Notamacropus eugenii: one gene and its partners. The protein of the gene in region 3 purifies or fractionates together with the protein of the main gene of each other region. This does not show direct contact. Links are inferred from orthologs where the notes say so. Each region holds a gene or a part of one and is shown on either strand. Other genes may lie near its edges. The genes, in order: SATB1, PPM1A and TRIM47.

Region 1 (3,746 bases), on a different chromosome or scaffold from region 3:
TTACAAAAATGTATAGGCATTAAAAAACATTTGCCTATAAGATACATATTTTACCACAGCTATGTCTGTATGTGATGGGCACATTACTGAAAGTTTATTTAATGATGTGCCTAACCAAGTTAATTAAAGTATTTATGTCTAGTGATTGTGTTAAACCCTTGCAGAGGTAGTGAAAGATACAACCAGCTACTTCTGCTAACTAAAGTTGAAATTATGCACTTATTATAACCTTTCCTAACAATGTGAGAAAAACAGAGTAAATATATTAAATTTGTTTCATAACAGATGCTTAGGTTGTTAATATTTAAGATGCCTATTCATGTTATTCCTGTCTGCACATTTGTCAAAAATGTAAGCCTGAATGCTAATGCTTGCCAGCAGATTGAAGCAAACAGTATATGAATGTACTACTGTACTACTCAAATAATATACAGAAGAAAGGACTGTAGCTAAATCATATCACTGGTAATATGGAACAGAAGAAAGAGCTGTTATTAGATCTTATACTTGAACCTTAACATCCTAGAATTTAGAATTACGCATCCTTTGCATAATAAGAATTGCCCTTGATTGGAGAGAATATATCTGACATTTGCTTCGGCCATCTTTTACTTAGTTCAGTTTAAAGGGGCAACGTAATAATTCAGTAAAGTTTTCAGTGGGATAGCTTCCTCTGCAACAGAAGTACTTTAGGTTTCAGGTGCTGCCGAGGATAAAACTTAAACCTTTGGTCATATTTCACCAACTCCTCTCTCTCTCCTCTCTTCTTCCCCATCCCTGCTGGCCTCCAAAGACGTATATATGGAACCCAGGGCAATTGGGGCAGACCATCTCTCTACTCTTACAAGGTCTTCCCAACCCTCCCTTCTGCTCCCCCTTCTCTTATAATCATTTTGGAGTCTCAGTCACAGATCATTTCCCTGGAAACCCCTTTGGAACGCTGCAGAAAGTTAGCCGAGGAAGGTCGCAAGGGTCAAAGTCTCAACCTCCGGCATTTAGTGATGCGACTCTGTGGTTCATACTTGTAAGTTTAACTCTCAATGCCCAGGTTAAGATGGGTCCAGGCCACAGGCAGCTGTGGCTCAGTGGTGAAGGCTCTTCCTTGCCCTCCCCCTTCTCTGGTCAGTCTGACCCTCTCCCCGCCCCCCTGCCCCCTGCTCCTGCGCCCAGAAACCTCAGTCCCCACTCCCCAATCTCCCCGACCTGCTACTGTCCCTGCAGCTCACTCTCTCTCCTCTGCTAAACCCTCAGATTTAGCTGCCCAACATCAGGTCGTGCCGAGGGTCCAAGATGCTCCGCCACTACGTCTCAGGCCATGCTAGAGGGGAAGCCGGTGCCTAAGGTGGTCCTGGTGTCCCGAGGGCAAGGAGAAGGCACGGATGCCCACACTACCGAACCCGTCAGGACCGCGGCCCGACCGGGTGGTAAAAGACCAGGAAGCGAGGCGTGCTGTCCCTCGGATCCCCTCCTCTATCTTCACGCACACCTTCCTTCCCTACCTTCCGTGATCCCTTCCCAGCCCAGCCCAGCCACGGCCACGGTCACGGCCACTGCCGTGCGGCCGCAACTCCTTAGAAACAACTTGCGAGCAACTTCGCGGCTCTGCGGCGGCGGAGGCGGCGGCTTCGGCTCGGGCTCGGGAGATGGAGAAGTTGCCACAAACTTCTCAGGCCAATCCACCGGCGCCGCTCTCCCGGCCGGGCCAGGCTGGGCTGGGCCGGGATGCTCCCGGGCAGTGCCTAGCTGGCACCTCGAATTTCTACCGACACCCCCCACCCCGCACTCCAGTCTTTCTCTCTGGCTCTTCTCCACTTCCACGAGGGGACCTTCCCCCCTCAAATACCTATGTCTACCTCGGGTACCAAGCAGGTGTGTGTGTGTGTGTGTGTGTGTGTGTGTGTGTGTGTGTGTGTGTGTGTGTGTGTGTGTGTGTGTGTGCTCGGGCGCGCGCGCGTGTATGTGTGTGTGTGTGTGTGTGTGTGTGTGTGTGTGTGTGTGTGTGATTGCTGTGGTCGGGAGGACTGACTATCACACTCCATCCCCACACCCCGAGAGGGAATGAATGGCATTCCCCAATCAGTCCTCCTGGCCTCCTTCACCTGCCCTCCGGCCCATGCTGGGGTGGGGGGCTCGGGGCCCGAACCAGGAGGCGCGGGGGGTGAAGAACGCTCCCGGCCCGAGGGCAGGGGAGGGAGGAAGCCCCAAGGGGCCAGCCCGAGCACGGGGGGCGCCCGCCTGGGGGGCTGCGAAGCAGAAGTTTGTAAAGACCTCCTCACACACATACACCGCACACGGCCCAGGGAAGGAGTAAACAAACGAGAGCCAACTCACTCAGGCATGGGAGCTGCGGCGGCCGCGGCGGCTGCGGGAGGGCTGGCGGGCGGCGGGCGGGCGGACGAGTGCGGGGCAGCAGCCCCGGAGGCTTCCCGGGTGTCTCGGCGGAGGCGGTGGCGGCTCCCGCTGCTGCTGCCGCTCCTGCTGCTGCTGCCGCCGCTGCTGCTGCTGCCCCCGTGGCTGCGGCTGCCGCGGAAGTTAATTGCAACTTGACTTCAAGTTGTCTTCTTCCCCCATCAGAAGTGGGCGTTCAAAGGGGAGAGAAAGACAAGAAGCGAGCGAGCGAGCGAGCAAGGGAGAAAGGAGGGGGGGAGGGAGGGAAGAGCAAGGGTAATGTGTGTATGCGTGTGTGTGTATGTGTGTGTGTATGTGTGTGTATGTGTGCGGGGGGGGCAGGGGAGGAGGCAGGGCCTGAGTGGGAGGGGAAGGAGCGGAGGGGGGGACAGGAGAGGAGGAGGGGGCGGGGGCGGGGGCGGGGGGCGCAGGCGGGGACCGGGGCTCGGCTCCGCTCCGCTCGGCTCCGCTCCGCTCGCCTCTTCTCGGCTCGGCTTCGCTCCGCAGTTGCGGCCGCCGGCCGCGCTCCAAGCCGGCCGGGTCCGCGGAGGAGCGGCGGGCAGCCCCAGCTGGAGAGCCCGCCGCGAGCCGGCCCTGGGGGCTGCCGCCGGGCATTCAGTCCCAGGGCTCCTTGGATGCCGGCCGCCCCCCGGGCTGGGGTGAGGAGGCGGGAGCGGGCCGGGCAGCGCGGCCGCCGCCGCCGCCGCTGCCTCTGCCTCCTCCGCCCGCGCCTTGGCCGCCACTGCTCCCCGCCTCGGCCCCCACCTCCGCCGGCTCGGTGCGCGTCTGGGGCGCCGGGGTCTGGATCGCCCGGGGCCGAGGTCTCGGTCCCTCCCTCCTTCGCTCTCTCCTCCTCTCCCTTCCCTCCTTCTCCCCCTGGCGGAGACTCTGCGGCCGCCCGCCCGGGGTCTACGGTGCGGAGCCCTCCAGCCCGCCCGGCCGAGCCTCGGCCGCCACCGCCCGGCTCCGCTCCTCCGTGGCTAGGTTTGCTGGAGGCTGCGAGCCCGGGCTGAGCCGGAGGGGAGGGGAGGGGAGGGGAGTCAAAGGAGGAGGGGGCAGGCGAGCAGGGAGGGGGGAGCCGGAGATGAGGAGAGAGCAGGGAGAGGGTAAAGAGAGGGCGTGGGGGGCAGAGGGCGATCTGCCCGCAGGTTTGAGGCGAAACCTGCACCCTAGGCGTGGAGGGGTAAGTGAGGGAGCGTCTCGGTGTCTGTCTGATCCTCCTCCCAGCGCCCCGACCCCCAGCCCTAGTTCCCTGCTGTGACTTCCTCTTGTTTTTTTGGGGGGGCTGACTCTGTGTGTATGTGTGCGTGTGTGTGCGCGTGCCTCTGTGTGTGTGTGTGTGTGTGTGTGTGTGTGTG
Region 2 (3,746 bases), on a different chromosome or scaffold from region 3:
AACCTAGACCCTGAAACACAGTAAGAGCTTAAGAAATGGCTTTTAGCTGATGCAATAAAAAACACATACAAAGTAAATGCCAGAGAATTTGGAGTGGAGGCAGTGAGACCACCTGGGTTGAAAAAATAGGTGGGATGGATTGGGAAGGATGTATTCCAGGCAAGAGGACACACTGTGCAAAGGAAAGATGGAAGAAAAGGTGCTGTGTGAGAAATAGTCAGTAGGATATGAACCCTGGGCTGCAGAATGGGTAAAGGGAAATAATAATAAAATTTCTACTATTAATGGGCAGCTAGGTGGACAGAGTGCCAGGCCTGGATTCCAGAAGACTTATCTTCCTGAGTTCAAATCTGGCCTCAGACACTTACTAGCAATGTGACCCTGGACAAGTCAATAACCCTGTTGGTCTCATTTTTTTTCAAATGTAAAATGAGCTGGAGAAGGAAATAGGGCCTAGAGTCATATACAACTGAACAACTAAGAGCAACAACAACATCAACTGTATCAAAGTATGGCACTTACAAATGGTTTTACAAACATCTCATTTTATTCTTACAACTCTAGGAAGTAGGTTCTATTTATTATCCCCATTTTACAGATGAAAAACTGAAGAATTCTGAAATTAAGTGATATGCTCAGAGTCACACAGCTGGGATCAGTCTAAAAGAAATGAACTCAGGTCTTTTTGATTCCAGGTCCAGCACTCATCCACCCATCACTCAGCTACGTGTACTAAAATGGTAGTCTGGAGCCAGATTATTCATGGATCAATATCTCTGAATTTTTTTTAATGATGGGGCTAGTTTCATGGTGAAAAATAAAATACCAATTCAAAGAGCTCAAGCTTCAAATGAATATATTTTTGTGACTTGTTTCATATTTTAAGTATATGATAAATTACAGGAAATTTAGTAAATATGCAAATCTAGTCAAGAGAAGCAAGATCCAGCCAGAACTGGCAGAAAAACCTTTAAAATGTGGTTATAATGCCATTCATATCAACTATCAAGTGTGAACTGCTTGTACAGACTTGTAGTTTCAGCTAATTTTTCTCTAGTTACCTCCATCCTCCTACCAAGAGTTTCTCATAGCAATATCCCTAGATTTCCCAAAGAAAAAAAAATCAGCAGAGGTTCTCTACAGAAATACTTTTGCAGAGAACAAGTCACACACCAGTTTCAGAATACCAAAGAAACACAATGTTGAAAGTTTATATGTTGTATGTATGAAGGATAAGTACTTCAAATAACATTCAATAGAGAGCATAATCCTGAAAATACTTTATATAAAATCCTTCAACAAAGCAATTACGGCAAATCAAAAGAACTTCTGTCTCCCTCAAAATATGTTTAGGCTTATCAACTTTCAACCTCTTTGAGCTTCAGACTATATACACAAAATTACAGTGAAAAATGTTAAATTATAGCTAATCATGTGATTCTAATGCTTTAGAATCCTTTATTGAAAAGTGCTACAATTCTATGACTATTGGTGAAATGCATAAACTGAGGTAATCTTAACAAGATTTACAAATGTGCTCCATATGTATGAGCTAAACAAAAAAAGTTTGATATTAGGATTCTGTAATTAATTCCTCATCATAGAAGGGATGCAGTTTTGTGTTTGAATGCATTCCCTGAAAAAGTGAAACACATGATCTTATGTACGAAGTAAGAAATTGCTGGATGAGTTACACTTTTCTCAAGCATTTAAGAACCTATTCTCGAGATCAGTTTCCTCAATTCCTTAATTAAGGCTGCTGGACTAAATGATTTCTAAACCTTCATTCAGCTTTAAAAATTTCTGAGTTGATAAAGCTCTCTTTACCCACCCCCACGGTTTAAAGGCTAAGAGAAAAATCAATACAATTTATTTTAATAGATTTGGTTTCCGTTTACCTTGCAATAAACGATCGTCAAAATTTAGATACCTCACTAGAAAGACTCAAATTTAAAAGCTAGCCCCTAACTCACCTACTTCCCCCCGAAGTCACCTTTCCATCTCCTAAATGTTCTCTACGGATTCTCCCCAAAACAAATTCCAAGGCAAATATGGTCCAATCAAATAATCACCTGGAGGAAAACCATACATACTTCCTGCCCCCGGTGTAAGAACTGTTCCCACATTTGGATTCTGATCATCATCGCAGTCAAAACCTCTCCCCATCCCCCCCACCCCCATGAGTCGGGGCACAAGAGGACCAAGCCCAAGGTTGCTGGGGGTGGGGTGCGGGTTTAGGACATCAGAGCCATTTCAAAACCCAGTACTTTCCACTCCCTCTCCCTTTAGCGGGGGGGGGAAGTTAAGAAAGCCAGTGGTCCTAACAAGCCCAGGTTTTCCGGCCAAAGACCAGGGAGGTCCGAGAGAAGAGGCCAGGGAGGAGGGAGCGAGAGGGGGAGGGGGGGGAGAGGGAGGGAGGGGCCGGGGAGGGTCGCCTTCCCTTCCTCCTCCTCTGACACAAACACTCCCGGCCCAGCCCCCGCCGCCCGCCCCAGGAGGAAGCGTTAACCCGCGAGCTTCTCCCCGCGGGCGCCTCCCGAGCTCCTCGGTCCGCTCGTCTCCTCCGAGGGGGAGGCCGGGTAAGGGGGTGGGGTTGTTGGGTGTTCCCGGGAGTGCCCGAGCAGCCGCCCCAGCTTGTTTACAGGCCCCGGGCCTGGCCAGGCCGCTGCCTCCTCCTCCTCCTCCTCCCCCCCCTCCCCCCTTCAGGAGGAGCCGCCGTCTCCACCGCGCAGCCCCCGGAGCGGCCTCCCCCTCTCGGGCCCTGCGTCGCCGGCGCGGGGCTTACCGAGAGCGGCAGAAGAAGAAGCGGGTCCCCGGTCCGAGGCGGTGGCGGCGGCCCGGCTAGGGAGGGACAAGGGGAAGGGGGGGAAGGGGAAAGGGGAGGGGGGTCACCGCACGTCGCGGGCCGGGCCGGGCCGGGTCGTCCGGGAGGAGGGAAGGGGAGGGGGGAGGAGGTGGAACGTGTCTGGGACCCCCGGCTCGTGGCGCCCTCGCCGTCGCTCAGATCATCGCAGGCACTGGGACGGAGGCGCGGAGCGGGTCCCGGAGGGGAGCTGACGGCGAGTTCATCGCTGGCGGGCCGCGCCGGCCCCGTGTCGGTCTCTCCGCCCCCCCTCCCCCCACCCCCGCCCCAGCCACCCGGTCCTGCGATCCAGCCGCCGCCGAGTCCCCGAGCTCGGGGCCGAGGAAGCGCCGGGACCCGGTTGTCTCGCTCCCAAGCGCGCTCCCGCTTCTAATGTCGATGCCGCCTCCGCCTCCTCCAGCGCGCACGCTCGCACGCGCGTTCACGCCCCACTCCCTCTTCCTCCTCTCCCTACCCCCCCCCTTCCTTCTTCCCTCCTCCCCTTCCTCTCTCCCCTCCACAGCTGCGGCGCCTTGTAGCAGCTGGAAAGACCCGGATGTTGTTGGGCTGGAACTTCAGCCAGGGTAAGGTGGAGGAGGGGCAGGTTAGGAATGACATAATTCCTCTACCCCATCTTTACTTGGCTGCCTCCTCCCCGTCGCCGGCCTGCTAGGGGCTAGAGTTCGTGTGTGTGTGAGTCTGCGTGTCTGTCTCTGTGTGTGTATAGGAAAGGGGGAATGGAAGCTTCCACCTTGGTTTACACTCCGCCCCCAGCCCTCCCCCACCACCCCACGCCCCATGCACACATCCTGGCTAGTAGCATCGTCTCCTGATCTCGGTGTGGTTGAGAAAGTGCACGTTTTGTTCTGAGCCCTGTAGAATGTGGTCCCAAAATAGCCCTTCA
Region 3 (3,746 bases):
CTGGGTACCAACCAATTGTCACCATCATGCCTGACTTTTTGGGTAGTTCCCATTCACCTCTCCTTCTTGACCTAGGCATGAATAAATCCTTTTCCCCTTAGGTTCAGCTGACATAAGGATGGGATTTTTCAAAGGGGAATTTATAATAATTTTACTGAAAAGCCAAAAGGAAAAAAAAGTCCATAGAATTGGAGTTTGCAGCATCATTACCTGAAGTTTCACTGTAGTAATAAATGACCTCCACTGTATATATATATATACTGGATATTCAATTCCTAGTTCCTTTTCTTGGCATCAATGTCTGGGATGAATTGAATGAAGGTAAAAAGTGGATTTGGGGGCAATTCTTACAGTGGCAATGGATACCCCTCTTGGGATCACAAAAAAAAAAAAATGATCGACAGACTAAGTGAAGCACAGTAAAGGGGACAGTCAGGCAACAACTGTCCAAAGCCAAAGTTACCAGAAAGAGCAGGTGGGGCTGGGGCCCATAGGACCAAAAGACAAGTGCGGGAGAGCAATGCACAGTCACATGCACTGATCCTTCCCTTCCTGGGGTTTTCTCTCACCAAGGGCTGAGGTCATTTCCCTAATTAAGGTCTAAGGAGGCCACTAATTCCCCATAAGTATGAAACTAAAGGGGTAAAGCATAAACTAAGCAATTTTTTTTCTTTTTTTCTCAGTTCATAAGAAAGAAAGGAAGTATTTTATTTGGGGAAGTGGGGAGAGATGTAGGGAAGTCATCAAAATAAGAAATATTAAAGTGTAACAACAGAACCTAAGGAGAACAGGTAAAAGGAGTGGGAATATTGATTGGCAGGGTGGGAGCTACTAGCAAGGATTCATTCCTTACCTATACAGCAGATGGGAAAGAGAGGCAGGTCTAAACAAAGATTCCCCTCCCATGAGCTAAGGGGAAGAACAGAAAGGGGAAGGATGTAAGAAATGTTTGTCTTCACAGTCAGCGATTCAGGTATTTTAATAATAGACTAGAGGAAGTGCCATGATGGAGAAAAAAAATGCTAAACCAAGAGGGTCCTGGACGGGGTAATTTAAGAATATGGAGATACCCTTAGACATATCTGTTAGGACAAGCCCTCTCCACCTTCAATAATCCATAATCGTCCTTTCCTTGAGACCCATCCCATCAGATAAGGAGGGCTATTAGTCCTCCAAAGGGAATGCCAAGTCTGGTACTTCTTGGTTCTACCTGAAACACAGAGCTGAGAAGGTTCAGCTAGGGAAGGTAGGACACCCTTCTGAGGCTAGGCTCAGAGCGATGGGCTAGAGTTCGAAGGCGGGACTGGGGGAAAAGGAGGGGGAGGCCAGTCCGAGAGAGCTGTAGGGGCGGGAGGGGGCTGAACCCTTCGGTCGAAGCCCAACGGGGAGGAGCTGCTGAGCTACCGCGCTCTGCTCATTCCTGGGCTGGAGCAGTGCAGGCGGAGCCCTTGAGAAGAGATGGACGTGAGCGGTCCCTTCAGCTGTCCCATCTGCCTAGAGCCACTACGGGAGCCCGTGACACTGCCCTGCGGTCACAACTTCTGCCTCGCCTGCCTGGAAGCGCTCTGGCCGCACCGCGGGCCCGGGGGACCCGGGGGATCCGGTGTCACTGCCCGCTGTCCACTGTGCCAGGAGCCCTTCCCCGACGGGCTGCAGCTGCGCAAGAATCACACGCTCTGCGAACTGCTGCAACTGCGCCAGTCTGGCCCCAGCCAGACCCCAGCCCCGGCCCCGGCCCCAAATCAAACCCCGACCCCGGAGCCCTCGGCGCCCTGCGCCCCAGAGCCGTGGCCGGAAGGCGAGGAGCCAGTGCGCTGTGACGCGTGCCCTGAGGGTGCGGCCCTTCCTGCGGCTCGATCCTGCCTCTCGTGTCTGGCCTCTTTCTGTACTGCCCACCTGAAGCCCCACGAGCGCAGCCCAGCCTTGCGCGGCCACCGCCTGGTACCTCCCTTGCGCCGGCTCGAGGAAAGCCTGTGTGCCCGGCACCTGCGGCCCCTGGAGCGCTACTGTCGAACTGAGCGAGTTTGCGTGTGCGACGCCTGTGCGGCCCAAGAACATCAAGGCCATGAGCTACTTTCTCTGGAGCAAGAGCGGGCTCTCCAAGAGGTAGAGGTCTAGGAGGCTTAGCTCTGTGGGAGGGAGCAGGCTGAGAGCGCTGAGTGGGGAAAGTGAAGTTCTAGAGGGGAGATTGGCGATTTTTGGCCGGGTGGCACAGGAGAAGCTCCTAACGGAAGCTTGGCAGAACTCTAAGAACTAAATGGGGGGAGCAGGAGATCCAGGAGTAGGAGAGGGCTGAGCTGAACACCTGGATCCCCAGTATAACCTGGTGGGAAGACTGGCAGGGAGGGGGCTTTGGTCTTGCTTCCAGCTTTCTGCTCTCTCCATATCTCTGAGCCACCCCAGCTCCCACAGACTTGGAGCACTGTTAGAACAGCCCAGGCTCCCGATGCCCTTCCTGGCCCAGAACCTGGAGCCTGAGTTGATCAGACTTTCTCCTGCTCCTTAGGGTCAGCAGTCTTGGGGGAATGGGATGTGGCTAGCTGGCAATGCTAGCCACAGATCCTCCGAGTCGAGGTGTCCTTGGGGTTCTTGGCGGGAGCATGTGTACAACCCCGCCCATTCTCTTCTTCCCTCTCTGAGCGCCTCTCTCCAGTCTCCTCTCCTCCCACCCCCTCCAATCCCGACCGTTTCCTTTGGCTTCCGTCCCAGTCTTGGCGCCTCTGGCCTCGGGATTTTCCGTCTCCTCCCTGGAGCGCCCACCACCTCCAGCCTGGAGGGAGTGACTCATTCCCCCCAAGGGTTTTGCATAGAATTCCCTGTTTGTAGAACTGGTTGGGGATACCAACTTCGTATATGGTAAACTTACCCCTCAAGACAACTTGCCAGGTGCTGTCCCCGCCCGTCCTACCCCTCCTCCCTTCAAATAGAGTCTAAGCGAGACTGGGTCTCTTGCCTCATACTTGCCCCCTTACCTACCACGGATTGGTCAGCGGCCAACAGACGGAGGAGGGGAAACGGGCGGATGACAACTGCATGCTTTTTGCTGCTGCGCTGGGCTGATCTTGAATATCAGGGAATTAGCTGGGAAGCCCCTCAGAGGTCATTTAGTCCTCCGGGTAACTAAAATGTTTTTGCCTTGACAACTTTTCTTACCTAGTATGACTTCATAGGAAACAGAAATTCACCATCTTCCTCTAGTCTCACCAATCTAGGGCAGCCTTTTCCTCCTCTGGATAACTCTAATTATTAGAAAGTTGTTTGCATTTTTGAATAATAACCCTAAATCCACCTCCCATCTCTTAGTTTACATTTTGTACTTGAAAAACAAGTCTAATAATTCCTTGTGTTCACATGACATTCCTTCAAATAAAGGAAATATTTGATGACTCTCCAGTTTTCTCTTCTCCAGACTAAACATCCTCTATTTCTTCATCAGGTCCTCATACAGGACGGTTTTCACCCTCCTACTTATTCTCCTCTAGCTGTATAATTACCCCACCCCCAGCTATCTATAGACACCTTCACCCCTGGACCCTGGAAGACCAAGTCTGTGTTAGCTCAATGGGTTCAGAGAAGGATGCTCTCTCCCTCAGGCTGAGAGCCCCGAGGTCCTGAGTGCTGCAGATGACCGCTTGGATGAGCTGGGTGCTAGTATCGCACAGTCTAGACGTACAGTAGCTCTCATAAAGGTAAGATTCCTAAGTCCCTTGAGACATTTGAATTCTGGAGAGGAGGTGGGGCTTGGG

The links.
Region 1: the proteins of TRIM47 (region 3) and SATB1 purify together in Homo sapiens (affinity purification with mass spectrometry; 4 studies listed by BioGRID and IntAct, with this or other methods). This does not show direct contact. The link is inferred for Notamacropus eugenii from reciprocal best matches to the Homo sapiens genes TRIM47 and SATB1.
Region 2: the proteins of TRIM47 (region 3) and PPM1A purify together in Homo sapiens (affinity purification with western blotting; 3 studies listed by BioGRID, with this or other methods). This does not show direct contact. The link is inferred for Notamacropus eugenii from reciprocal best matches to the Homo sapiens genes TRIM47 and PPM1A.

The regions. Positions count from the first base shown.
Region 1 is NC_092874.1:35,639,000-35,642,745, reverse strand, and holds the start of SATB1 (DNA-binding protein SATB1), read right to left. Parts: upstream 2,450-3,746; 5' UTR 2,332-2,449; intron 1-2,331. UniProt on the Homo sapiens protein: Crucial silencing factor contributing to the initiation of X inactivation mediated by Xist RNA that occurs during embryogenesis and in lymphoma.
Region 2 is NC_092872.1:303,349,526-303,353,271, reverse strand, and holds the start of PPM1A (protein phosphatase 1A), read right to left. Parts: upstream 2,922-3,746; 5' UTR 2,786-2,921; intron 2,167-2,785; exon of another isoform or gene 2,094-2,166; intron 1-2,093. UniProt on the Homo sapiens protein: Enzyme with a broad specificity. Negatively regulates TGF-beta signaling through dephosphorylating SMAD2 and SMAD3, resulting in their dissociation from SMAD4, nuclear export of the SMADs and termination of the TGF-beta-mediated signaling.
Region 3 is NC_092873.1:342,072,555-342,076,300, reverse strand, and holds the start of TRIM47 (E3 ubiquitin-protein ligase TRIM47), read left to right. Parts: upstream 1-1,417; 5' UTR 1,418-1,458; coding exon 1,459-2,106; intron 2,107-3,593; coding exon 3,594-3,689; intron 3,690-3,746. UniProt on the Homo sapiens protein: E3 ubiquitin-protein ligase that mediates the ubiquitination and proteasomal degradation of CYLD.